3 linked regions of the Callithrix jacchus genome follow. The protein of the gene in region 3 purifies or fractionates together with the protein of the main gene of each other region. This does not show direct contact. Links are inferred from orthologs where the notes say so. Each region holds a gene or a part of one and is shown on either strand. Other genes may lie near its edges.

Region 1 (3,645 bases), on a different chromosome or scaffold from region 3:
AGTGCAGTGGCATGATCTCGGCTCACTGGAACCTCGCCTCCTGAGTTTAAGCAATTCTCATGCGTCAGCCTCCTGAGTAGCTGAGATCACAGGCGTGTGCCACCACCCTAGCTAATTTTGTATTTTTAGTAGAGATGGGTTTTTTTTTTTTTAACCCGGTCGGCCAGGCTGGTCTAGAACTCCTGACGTCAGGTGATCCACCTGCCTTGGCTTCCCAAAGTGCTAGGATTGTAGGTGTGAGCCATTGTGCTTGGCCAGCCTTCACGGTCTTAAAGGCTTTAGAGCCATGTTGGAATCTCAGCTCTTCTTTTGACTTTGTGTATGTTGCCAACTTATTTAACATTTCTGAGCTTCAGTTTTCCCATCTGTAAACTGGGAATGTGATTTAGCTGATGTGGTTAATTAGATTTATGTATATAAAAAGTGTATATATAAAATAGTGCCTCTTATTTGGCATATATTGTAGGAAAATGAATACTTATTTTCAGTAATATAATTAATAAAAGTTGAGATAATTTTGCTTGTATAGCATTGTTCTCTGCCTTTAAACTGTGTCATATCATGAGCATTTCCCCATATAATTAATAGTTATTTTCATGTTTTGTTATTCATTCATTTATGTATTGTTCAGAGACATAGTTTCACCCTGTTGCCCAGGCTGGAGTGCAGTGGTATGATCAGAGCTCACTGCAGCCTTGAACTTCTGGGCTCAAATGATATTCCTGCCTTACCCTCCCATAATTAAAAATAATTGAAATTATTTTTGTGGAATTATATCATCATATATCACTTGTGCAAATCTCTCAATTTTATGCATTTTTTAATACCATGATGAATATTTTTGTGAATTAGTAATTTACTTAATTTTTGGTCCTATTCCTTAGGTAGATTTTTAGAAAATGGAATTAGTTGTTTAAGAATTAGACATTTTGGGGATCCTTGATACCTTTGGCCTTAGTAAATGCACTATTTTTTTCCCCATTTTTGGTCCAGTCTCTGGAATCTGTTCTGCGCCACCCGGCAGATAATCGCACCCAGATTCGAGAGCTTGGCCAGACTCTGATTGATGGAGGGATCCTGGATGATATAATCAGTGAGAAACTGGAGGCTTTCAATAGCCGATACGAAGAGCTGAGTCACCTGGTAAGAGTCGGGACATGCATGCGTGTTGATTAGGTACTGATGAAGTGGAGCTGGCCCTGAGCTCCATATCATAGAGCTTTAATGTTGGAAAAATCTTTAATGTTGGTTAAAGTTGGTAACCAATGCCAACAGGGGCATTGAGAGTACTGAAGTACTCAGGAGCGGAGAATAGATCTAACACTTTAAGAAAGGCAGAGCTTGATGATTAAAAAAATTATTTTTGATATTACTTCTACATATTCTTATTACACTTTGAGAAAGAACACTTCTTTTACAGGAAGATTGGGTATGAATATTAGGTGCTTCCAAACACATATTAAATAATAACTGTTGGTGTTTAGTCAATGAATAACATCAAGCTTAACCCCAAAGTACAGTACATAGTAGTTTGATATGTACGTACACCTGTAGAATTTGTTTTACACTTTAGAAAAATAGACTCTGATGTTTGCTGTATTTACAGACATTTTTCTTATTTATTTATTTATTTTTTGAGACGGAGTTTCGCTCTTGTTACCCGGGCTGGAGTGCAATGGCGCGATCTCAGCTCACCGCAACCTCTGCCTCCTGGGTTCAGGCAATTCTCCTGCCTCAGCCTCCTGAGTAGCTGGGATTACAGGCACGCGCCACCATGCCCAGCTAATTTTTGTATTTTGAGTAGAGACGGGGTTTCAATATGTTGACCAGGATAGTCTCAATCTCTTGACCTCATGATCCACCCGCCTCGGCCTCCCAAAGTGCTGGGATTACAGGCATGAGCCACCGCGCCCGGCCTTTTCTTATGTTTTATATTCTTATTGGTAGACATTGATGACTCCTAAAAATTCCTTAAAATTATAATAAATAACAAATTTTTGTCTTCTGTTTAATGCATCTTATGTGAAACTTTACATTTTTGTATTTCGTCATTATATATAGAAAGAAGTAATAATTAGTAATTCAGCTGAATGGTACATAAGATCCCAGTAGGACATTTTCACTGTTGTCATTAGTAATTATTATTTATTTATAGGAAGGGTAAAGTCTTGAACAAAAGCTTTTATAGTCTTTTCTTAGTGGCCAGAACATATATATTCAGCTATTTATATTTGCACTGAGCAACTAATGATTCAATTTCTCCTCTGCAGGCAGAGAGCAAGCAGATTTCTTTGGAAAAGCAACTCCAGGTCCTGCGGGAAACTGACCACATGCTTCAAGTCTTACAAGAGAGCTTGGGGGAGCTGGACAAACAGCTCACCACGTACCTAACTGACAGGATAGATGCTTTCCAAGTTCCACAGGAAGCTCAGGTATTGCTATGAATTTGAAGGCTTTCAAGATGTAAACAGAGCATATGCAATTGCCTCTCCAACTATAATAAAATCCCTCTTGCCATCCAAAACCGAGAGTCAGTGGGAAAGATTGACCTTACTTATGGGGCAGCATTTAGGTTTTGAAGTTCTCTCGCTTTCTATGTGAGACTCTCTCAAAAGTTCTATATATTTTATTTTGTTATTTATTTGAGATGGAGTCTCACTCCATCACCCAGGCGCAGTGGTGCGATCTCAGCTCATTGCAACCTCTGCTTCTGGGTTCAAGTGATTCTCCTGCCTTAGCCTCTAGAGTAACTGGGACTATAAGCATGTGCCACCAAGCCTGGCTAATTTTTTGTATTTTTAGTAGAGACAGGGTTTCACCATGTTGGCCAGGCTAGTCCCAAACTCCTGACCTCAGGTGATCTGCCTTGCTCTGCCTCCCAAAGTGCTGTGATTGCAGTTGTGAGCCATTGTGCCGTTGAAAAGTCCTGTATATTTTGAATAGTAGTTTTCTTCGCTACGAAGTTGGGACAATTCCTTCCTTATAAATAAGTTGTGAACATTAGAAATGACAAGTGTAAGGACCTTAGCATGTGCATCACACACAATAGTCATATTATGCAGTGCTGTATTATCATACAAAACTTATTAAAGCTTCTATGGAGGTCAACATTATGTAAAATACAACATTATGTACTACACAACAATATAGAACTTTTGTATTGCTTCTTTTTATACTTAAGAAAAAAAGGACATTGTTTCCCCTTTCCAATCTCTTTGTAGAAAATTCAAGCAGAGATCTCAGCCCGTGAGCTAACCCTAGAGGAGCTGAGAAGAAATATGCGTTCTCAGCCCCCGACCTCCCCAGAGAGCAGGTCTGCCAGAGGAGGAAGTCAGATGGACGTGCTACAGGTAAGGAGGGCGAGGAGCTTCCATTTACTTTTCAGCACGTTGGGAATTTTTTTAAAAGAGAAAGAATTGGTTACTCGGGCACCCTTGGTGCCCTTATGATGTAAATTGTGGAATGGGAGTGATGTCTTGAAGGTGCATTGCATCCTAGGGCAGCAGAAACAAATTGTTGCAAGGGGGGGAAATGTTAAATCTGATTTTTATAGTTGAGTTGAGAAATAAGAGAGTGAGCCGTATTTCGAGGTTACCTTTATATAGTCTTTTTCTTTAATGCAGAGCCTCTGTCAGCATCTTGTGG
Region 2 (4,209 bases), on a different chromosome or scaffold from region 3:
AAATCAATAAAAAGGTTTTCAATGCATGGGAAGATCTTCAAGGCTTTTCTGTTCAAATTCAGAGGTGAACAAATTCTAAGTTAAAAATGTATGCTGTCAAGGTCCCTGCAAGAAAATCTCAAGCTAATTTCAATTTCCATATCAATATATACTAAGACAATTTACCAGAGAAACCTTCAACCTTTACTCAGGTTGAGGAACACTATTATTACATTCTTTAACAATAAGACTAGCTTGAATTCATTATTTCATGTAATGGCATTTTATAATTGACACTGAGCAAGTCAGATTTTGTAGGATATGAATGAGATTTCACAGTTCATAGTAGTTAGATAGCCACAGAGTGCCTATCACCTCAAAATTAGCTTGCTGCCCCTCTTTATGCAGCTCTGAAATAGCCAGAAAAGATGAATTTTCTTCTCCCAGGGGTGTTTACTGAAAATATTCTATCAACTACAAATCAGTGGAATACTGTTAATGTGATGATGACCATTTCTTTTTGATATCCAAAGAGATCACATCATCATCCTTCCCAACTTTAAGGAATCAGAACTAGTTACCAAAACTGATTCAGTGATGGCTATTTTCCATCTTCACAATATAATTAACATTTTAATCTCACATTTTCCAATTATGAATTGCTAGTTTATTTACATCAGCTATAACTAAGATGCAACAAATATTATTCACCCACACATCCAGTCATTTGGAGGCTTTTGGAAAACACCTAATTTACCTTTACTGGGTGCTCTTAAGAATAAGGAAACCAAGGAGATTTTTGAGACATTTTTCTCTCCAAAACTGTCCTATTCACATGTGGGTACTGAGCACCTGAAACGTGGCTGGTCAGACTGGAAAACGGATTTTGAATTTTATTTAATTTTCATTTATTAAAATTTAAATTTAGAAAAAGGTACTTGATTCGGTTATTGGAAAACTTTTATATATACTGGGAACCACTTGGGTATGTGAATCTACTTTTGCAAATGCAGATTTTATGAAACCTAAATACAGATTACGAATTTCTGATGAAAATTCAGCTTAAGTGTCAGAATTGAGATGTGCTGTTAGTGTAAAATACACACTGGGATTTCAAAGACTTAGTATAAAACATGTAAAATATTTCGTTAATATGTTTTCATATTGATTACATGTTGAAATGTTTCAATCTACTGAGTTAAATAAAATATTTTATTAAAATTAGTTATACCTTTTTTATTAAATGTGGCTACTAGAAAATTTTAAATTATAAATGTGGCTCATAATACAGCTTTTGGACAGTGCTATTCCAAAACACTTCCACAACCACTTTAACAGGACACATTTGGATACTTTCCTTTTAACAGTCTGGCTGATCATGTAACAATAGGGCAAGGAGTAACATGTCCTCATATCAATTGTGTCTGAGTAAAGTGTGTAGCAAGCTCTATCCACGATTTCACCATGAGAGGCAACACTGTAATACCTCAATATGGAAAGAAAAAGAAACAAATTAGCACTCAAATTAAAATTGTGTACTGCAGACAACTTAAAAGAGAGAGGGCCAACTGCTCTAAGGTCTTAATTTCATTTCCCAACTGTGGACCTTAAAATAGACAATAAAGCACCGCTTCCAAAAAAAAAAATATTTCAATGGTAGCTCTAGCGATCCTTATTAAGCCACGGAATACACGCTGTGTTAGGAAATCAAGTTCAGATTGCCAGCATTTCCTTCACAAGCAAATTAGCAGGATTGTGCACTTGGAATACTGTTTGACAAGAATGAAAAGGAAACTATTCAAAATAGATTTAAGGAATAGACAATTAGATGAGGAACTGCAGATTTAATTCTCAATCAGCACTGTGATTAATCTGATTCCCTGCTTTTCCCTAGCGTAATTATACAACACAGATGAAAGGATGAGCATTTGGACTGTCAATTCTATATTCTAGACCAGCCTGGTGACTCAAAGCAGACGGTTCTACCATGCTAACCACCATCCCAACAACAGTCTAGGGGAGCCTCGAGCACTGATTGAACAGTCATTGCATAACGAGGCATTAAAAATTCGAATGCCCCCAACTCTTTCCACGTCTGTGTACACCAGGGGGGGATTTGCTGAAACTGAACGCACCCCGTCTTAAACGACCCCTTCCTATCCGGGCACGGGGTGTACACAAAGGCATCTGTCTAATATCCTGCACAATAGACACACACCCCACAACTAAAACCTTGGACTATCTCTCTCTCTCTCCACACAAGCAAAGGAAATGCAAGCTGCTCTTTTCAAAAATGGTCTATGGTACAAGCAAGGTAACAATAACCCTAACTGAAGCAACTATAAAATCGGCTGTGCCACGTCCCTATGCAACCGTCAGATAAAATGCAGGCAGCCGGCTCCACGCCTTACGGGGTGACCAACCTAGGCTCGTTGGCCTCAATGGATCGCTGAGAACCCCAAGGCCCCCGCCAAGCAGGAGCTCCAGGTACACGTCTATAAATACTCCAGGATGAGGAGGACGAGAGGGGAAGAGGGGAGGGCGGGCAGGGGGCAGGCCCCGAGCGGGTGCGGGAAGACCGGGGTATCACTGAAATGCATTTTTCCACACTCCCGCTCCCTCGCGTGGAGACTTACTTGCCGATCACCTCGCACAGCTCGTACACATCCTCGAACAGCACGTCGTCGTCGGCCATGGTCCGGAGGGGATAGCGGCCGCAGCGTGGAGGGCTTCGAAAACGGGGGTGGGGGCGCCCAAGAGCTCAGTGCCCAGCCCCGGGCTCGCCTCCTCCCCTCAGGACCCGCGAGCCCTCGGCGCCGAGGACGCTTGAGTGGGGCCGCGAGGCCCAGAGACTGCGGCGCCTTCCTCTGCGGACTACCGCCCCGGCGCGGGCGGCGGGGCCGGGGCGCGGGAGCAAGGGCGGCCCGGGCCCGGCGCCGCCCGCCCGCCCGCTGCTCCTCGCGCTGCTCGGGCCGCGCTGCCCGGCGTGCGGATCCTCGGGGACCGCGCGGCGTCCCGCTCTCGGCTCGTCAGCCCGAGCGGGCTGCGAGGCCACGACCGCTCCCTCTGTCCGAGACCGGCTCCGTCGCGTCGCGGAGCAGCTCGGACTACAGAGGGTGCCGCGGCAGGACCATGGAGGGAGGATCGTCTCGGAGGGAGGTGGCGGCGGCTGATCGGCGCTGGGGACCAGGAGGCGGTGGCAGAGACGCTCCCTCCTCTTTCTCCTCCTCCCGCAGCCGCCGCCGCCCGCCCAGAAGTGGGAGGGGGCTTCGCGGGACCGGCGCTCTGTGCGGGCGGGAGCCGCGGCTGCCGCCTTCTGCTCCGCCCCTCAGCCTCAGCAGCCGACCGACTCGCCAGCCCCGCACACCCGCCTCGCGCAGACACGCCCTCCTCCCCCGTCGCCAGCGCCGCTTCCAGAACCACAGGCCCCGCCCACACCAGTCCGTCGGGAGGCGGTGTCCCAGGGAAAAGGGAGCGGGCTGAGCGGCGCATGCGCGCGGCGCCGGTCGCGTCACGGCGAAAGGGCGGGCACTGGGATTCTAGAGGGCGCGGAGGGTTTGCGAGTGGGGCGCGCCGGCTGCAGCTGCTGAGGCGGGGCTTGGTTGGGGTCGTCGCCTCCGTGCCTAGCCGCGACCAAGCCGCGAAAGAGGATGGAGACAAAAGGTCCACGGCTGCACGCTCGTTGTCCGGCAAGAGGCACGGAACTCCGGCCGTTACCCCTTCTTTTGTAATCGCAGGGAGCCTTTCCCAGTTTTTTGTCGAGAAAAGAGGCAGGGAAAGGGTGCGAATGAATGAGAAGGCCAAAAGAGGTAGAGAGAGGTTGTCACTGAAGCCGTGCTTGGCAGCGGATGCTTTTAGTGCCACCCTGTCATTCCTTAATGAAGACGAGGGCTGGGGGTAAGGGTAGGTCATCCTATAAAAGGACTAGACAAAAACTGCCTAGGAAGGTGTGCGACAGCAGCACACGGTCATCTATGGAGACAGCTTCTCCCACGTTCTGGCCCAAACTCAGCAAATATCAATCCAGCGCTTACCCTCACTAGAGACAACCTAGAGAGAAACCAGGAAGGCAGGGACAAACTGCGACTTTAATCTCCTTTGTATATTGCCCCCAAACTCCCAACACCTACTCTGCTCTCTATATTGCCTATAAATGTTAGACTTGTCAGGAACAAAATGCAACTAGAGGGAGTGCAGGCACAGGAGCAGCCAGGGAGTGAGGTTCTGGGT
Region 3 (4,369 bases):
TCTAAAGATCACCCTCACCAATATGGGGAGGCAGCATCCAATCAGTTGAAGACTTGAATAGAACAAAAGGGCAGAGGAAGGGGGAATTCACACTCTGCCTGAGCTGGGACATAGATCTTCTCCTGGTCTCAGACTTTGGTGCACCTGGCTCTTGGGCCTTGGCATGGGGATGCGGACTTACATGATCCTCCCCACTCCCACCCTCACCCTCTTCTCAAACTTCCTGTTTTGTTTTTTTTTTTTCCTTTCATCCTAACATATTCTATCATGCACTCAAACTTTCTGTTTTTAGACAGGGTCTCACTTTTTCACCCAGGCTGGAGTACACTGGCGTGATCTTGGCTCACTGCAACCTCCATCTCCTGGATTCAAGCAATTCTCCTGCCTCAGCCTCCCTAGGAGCTGAAATTACAAGGGCCTGCCACCACACCCAGCTAATGTTTTTATTTTTAGTAGAGATGGAGTTTTCACCACGTTGGCCATGCTACTCTCAAACTCCTGACCTCAAGTGATCCACCTGCCTCAGCCTCCCAAAGTGCTGGGATTACAGGCATGAGCCTCCTCTATCAGGCCCCTTCTCAGACTTTCTTCCCTTTCTTTTTTTTTTTTTTTCAGTTTCATTCTTGTTGCCCAGGCTGGAGTGCAGTGGTGCCATCTTGGCTCATCGCAACCTCCACCTCCTGGGTTCAAGCAATTTTTCCGCCTCAGCCTCCTGAGTAGCTGGGATTACAGGCACTCGCCACCATGCCCAGCTAATTTTTTGTATTTTTAGTAGAGACGGGGTTTCACCATGTTGACCAGGATGGTCTCGATCTCTCGACCTCGTGATCCACCCGCCTCGGCCTCCCAAAGTGCTGGGATTACAGGCTTGAGCCACCGCGCCCAGCCCAAATGTTCCTTTTATACTGTTCTGGGGACATTTTCTGTATGTCATTTAACCACGTATTATCACACCTAGTTGGTTGGTTCTGTATTTTCCTTCCCCACTAGACCGCAGACTCTCAGCTGTTGCTGGTACTACTGCGCTTATCTACAGGGCCTCAGAAGGAGCCGGAGTCCCTGGTTGAGCGCTCAGTACACAGGGTGCGAACCAATCAGTGCAAGAATGAACGTGCCACCGGGTCTTGCATGCTTGCAAAGTGCTTCTCCAAGCTGATTTTGCTTTTCGTGCCCAGGCAGCTTCCGTGAATTGCACGGTAGAGGTCAATAGTTTCTGCGGGTCCGTGGGGAGCCAATGGAAGGAGGATGAGAAATGCAGTCCCACCGCACTCGGGCTGCCCGCGTCCGGCGACAAGCGAGGGATCCGACAGCTTCTGCACCTCCCGGAAGCGGCTGCGCCGGCCCCGCCCCTCGGGAGGTGGGCGTGGCATCATGAATAATGAATCGCGCCGGGGAAGGGCCGGGCCCGCCCCTCCGGGCGGGAAGGGGGAAGCGCTGAGGCTGCCTGACTGGAATGAGGGTAGCTGTGGCGACTGCGGCGGCTGGAGAGGGGCCGGCCATGGCGGTGTGGACGCGGGCCACCAAAGCTGGGCTGGTGGAGCTACTCCTGAGGGAGCGCTGGGTCCGAGTGGTGGCGGAACTGAGCGGGGAGAGCCTGAGCCTGACTGGCGACGGCGCCGCGGCCGAGCTGGAGCCCGCTCTGGGACCCGCGGCGGCCGCCTTCAACGGCCTTCCGAACGGCGGCGGCGCCGGCGACTCGCTGCCTGGGAGCCCGAGCCGCGGCCTGGGGCCCCCGAGCCCACCGGCGCCGCCTCGGGGCCCCGCGGGTGAGGCGGGCGCGTCGCCGCCCGTGCGCCGTGTGCGGGTGGTGAAGCAAGAGGCGGGCGGCCTGGGCATCAGCATCAAGGGCGGCCGCGAGAACCGGATGCCGATCCTCATCTCCAAGATCTTCCCGGGGCTGGCCGCCGACCAGAGCCGGGCGCTGCGGCTGGGCGACGCCATCCTGTCGGTGAACGGCACCGACCTGCGCCAGGCCACCCACGACCAGGCCGTGCAGGCGCTGAAGCGCGCGGGCAAGGAGGTGCTGCTGGAGGGTGAGTGGGGCCGGCCGACGGGGCGGGAGGGTGGGCGGGCCGCGGCGGCTTGGGCTCGCGGGAGCTCACTTTGTTCCTTCCCTGCCGACGGGGCGAGCCGGTTCTCTCCCCGTCTCTTCCCAAACCCGGGTTTCTGGAACTTAGAGTGTGGAAAAACGGATGCTTCTTGCAGGAAAAGTTGGGCAGCCGCCGAAGTGTGGCTTGCAGCCCCTAAGGAAGACTCGGCTGAGATTGGGCAAAAAGCAGCTTCCCATGAAGCTCCCCCTCGGCCGGATAAGCTGACACTAAGAACTAGAGGGAGAGCGAACGGCTCGAGTGGGTCTGTCTCCGTTTGCCCGCTGAGAAGTGCCGGGTTGGCGCTTAACTCACTCAACTCTGGCTCTTCGGGGCGGGCAGGTCTATTAAAAAAAGTCCAACACCGATGCCAGCGGTATACTTGGGCAAACCACCAAAGCGCTGGTTAATTTATGGGAATTTAACCCATCATTGGCTCTCAACAATAACCAAAGGAGATCATAGCACTTCATTGAAGCCAGAAAGCTGAAACAGCAAGTCTGTGTGGTTAATGAACCTTAACAGTGGAGGATCACGTGTTTGAACATTTACTGCCAACTAGAGTTTTGCCCCTTTTGCAAGAGTCTGCTGCCAGCTTCCTTCCACTCACAGGCGCGCTGCTTCAAGACTATTACGGCTTTTGTAAGAAACTTGAAATGGTAAATCACAAGATAACTTTCAATAACCAGGATTATTCTTTACATTAAGTTATATATGTGATTTGTAAGTTGGATCTTTTATGATGAATTTGAAGTAAGGCAAAAATAAAATTCCTCTCCTTTAAGGACTCATGCATATTGGAGGTGATAGAGTAAACTGTAAACGAAAAGTCAGTTGCTTTCTTTAGCAATTTTTGAGAGGTCAGCTTTCTTTCACTGGTGATTATTGCTAGCTGTGTTGAAAAGAATATGAAAGAAGATGCTGTCCCTTCTTGGTCTCTTATTGGAGAAATGATAGAAAAATGCAAAACAACTTATAGGAAGGAAAGGGATGAAGTTGGTGATTATGTCGTGCAAACTGTATTTAAGTCCCAAGGGAATGCAAAGTTAGAAAGTAGTTAGTAGAGATGGAATTAGGCAGGCAGGACTTTTTCCCTGAGCCAGTTCTCCAAGGAAGTGATGGACATAGGCAGGCAGGGATGAGTCAGGAGAGTATTCCTGGCAGAGGAAGACAGAAGGGAAGGACCAATCATCAAACCGAGAGGCCAGAAGTCCAACTTGGCACAATAATTTTCAGTTTCTTATAAATCAGCTTGTGAATATTTGGAAAAATACTGGTTTATCAGAAATGATTTCATGTACACCAGTTGTGAAATTCGTGTCCCACCTTTATAATATCCTATTTGTAAACCTTGTTTATTTTGGATGTCTAGGTGGGGCTAGACACGGCTCGGAAATTTAGTGTTAATAGAAGGAGTAAAATTATAGATTGTGGTTTGGGTGTGTCTAAAAAAATTGTTATTTTGGCCGTGCGCGGTGGCTCAAGCCTGTAATCCCAGCACTTTGCGAGGTCGAGGCGGGTGGATCACGAGGTCAAGAGATCGAGGCCATCCTGGTCAACATGGTGAAACCCCGTCTCTACTAAAAATACAAAAAATTAGCTGGGCATGGTGGCACATGCCTGTAATCCCAGCTACTCAGGAGGCTGAGGCAGGAGAATTGCTTGAACCCAGGAGGTGGAGGTTGTGGTGAGCTGAGATCGCACCATTGCACTCCAGCCTGGGTAAGGAGCAAAACTCCGTCTCAAAAAAAAAAAAAAAAATTGTTATTTTAAATGTGTGCCTTGAAATTGGTCTAGCTAAGCATTTGGTTATAAATTCTTATATCCAGAATATTGAATTTAGTACTATTTATGTAGTCCTCAGTTGAACCCTTTACACCATATTTTTTAAAAACAACACTTTTTGGCCAGGCGAGGTGGCTTATGCCTATAATCCCAGCACTTTGGGAGGCCAAGGCGGGTGGATCACCTGAGGTTAGGAGAACCCAGCAAAACCTCCTCTCTACTAAAAATTCAAAAATTAGCTGTGGGTGGTGGTGCACGCCTGTAATTCCAGCTACTAGGGAGGCCGAGACAGGAGAATTGTTTGAACCCGGAAGGCGGAGGTTGCAGTGAGCTGAGATAGCACCACTGCACTCCAGCCTGGGTGACAGAGCAAGACTACATCTCAAAAACAAACAAAAAACCCACTTTTTGTGTAGGTATAGTTTGAACATAGTATTCAGACCAGCAAAACGAAAACCTTGTAGTAAATGCTTCCCAGTATTTGTTAGACTAAATTG

The links.
Region 1: the proteins of SNTB2 (region 3) and UTRN purify together in Homo sapiens (affinity purification with mass spectrometry; 4 studies listed by BioGRID and IntAct, with this or other methods). This does not show direct contact. The link is inferred for Callithrix jacchus from reciprocal best matches to the Homo sapiens genes SNTB2 and UTRN.
Region 2: the proteins of SNTB2 (region 3) and CASK purify together in Homo sapiens (affinity purification with mass spectrometry; 3 studies listed by BioGRID and IntAct, with this or other methods). This does not show direct contact. The link is inferred for Callithrix jacchus from reciprocal best matches to the Homo sapiens genes SNTB2 and CASK.

What each region holds. Positions count from the first base shown.
Region 1 is NC_133505.1:151,253,428-151,257,072, forward strand, and holds part of UTRN (utrophin), read left to right. Parts: intron 1-993; coding exon 994-1,143; intron 1,144-2,270; coding exon 2,271-2,432; intron 2,433-3,221; coding exon 3,222-3,350; intron 3,351-3,645.
Region 2 is NC_133524.1:42,784,929-42,789,137, forward strand, and holds the start of CASK (peripheral plasma membrane protein CASK), read right to left. Parts: upstream 2,810-4,209; 5' UTR 2,675-2,809; coding exon 2,616-2,674; intron 1-2,615. UniProt on the Homo sapiens protein: Multidomain scaffolding Mg(2+)-independent protein kinase that catalyzes the phosphotransfer from ATP to proteins such as NRXN1, and plays a role in synaptic transmembrane protein anchoring and ion channel trafficking.
Region 3 is NC_133521.1:26,737,912-26,742,280, forward strand, and holds the start of SNTB2 (beta-2-syntrophin), read left to right. Parts: upstream 1-1,436; 5' UTR 1,437-1,453; coding exon 1,454-2,033; intron 2,034-4,369. UniProt on the Homo sapiens protein: Adapter protein that binds to and probably organizes the subcellular localization of a variety of membrane proteins. May link various receptors to the actin cytoskeleton and the dystrophin glycoprotein complex.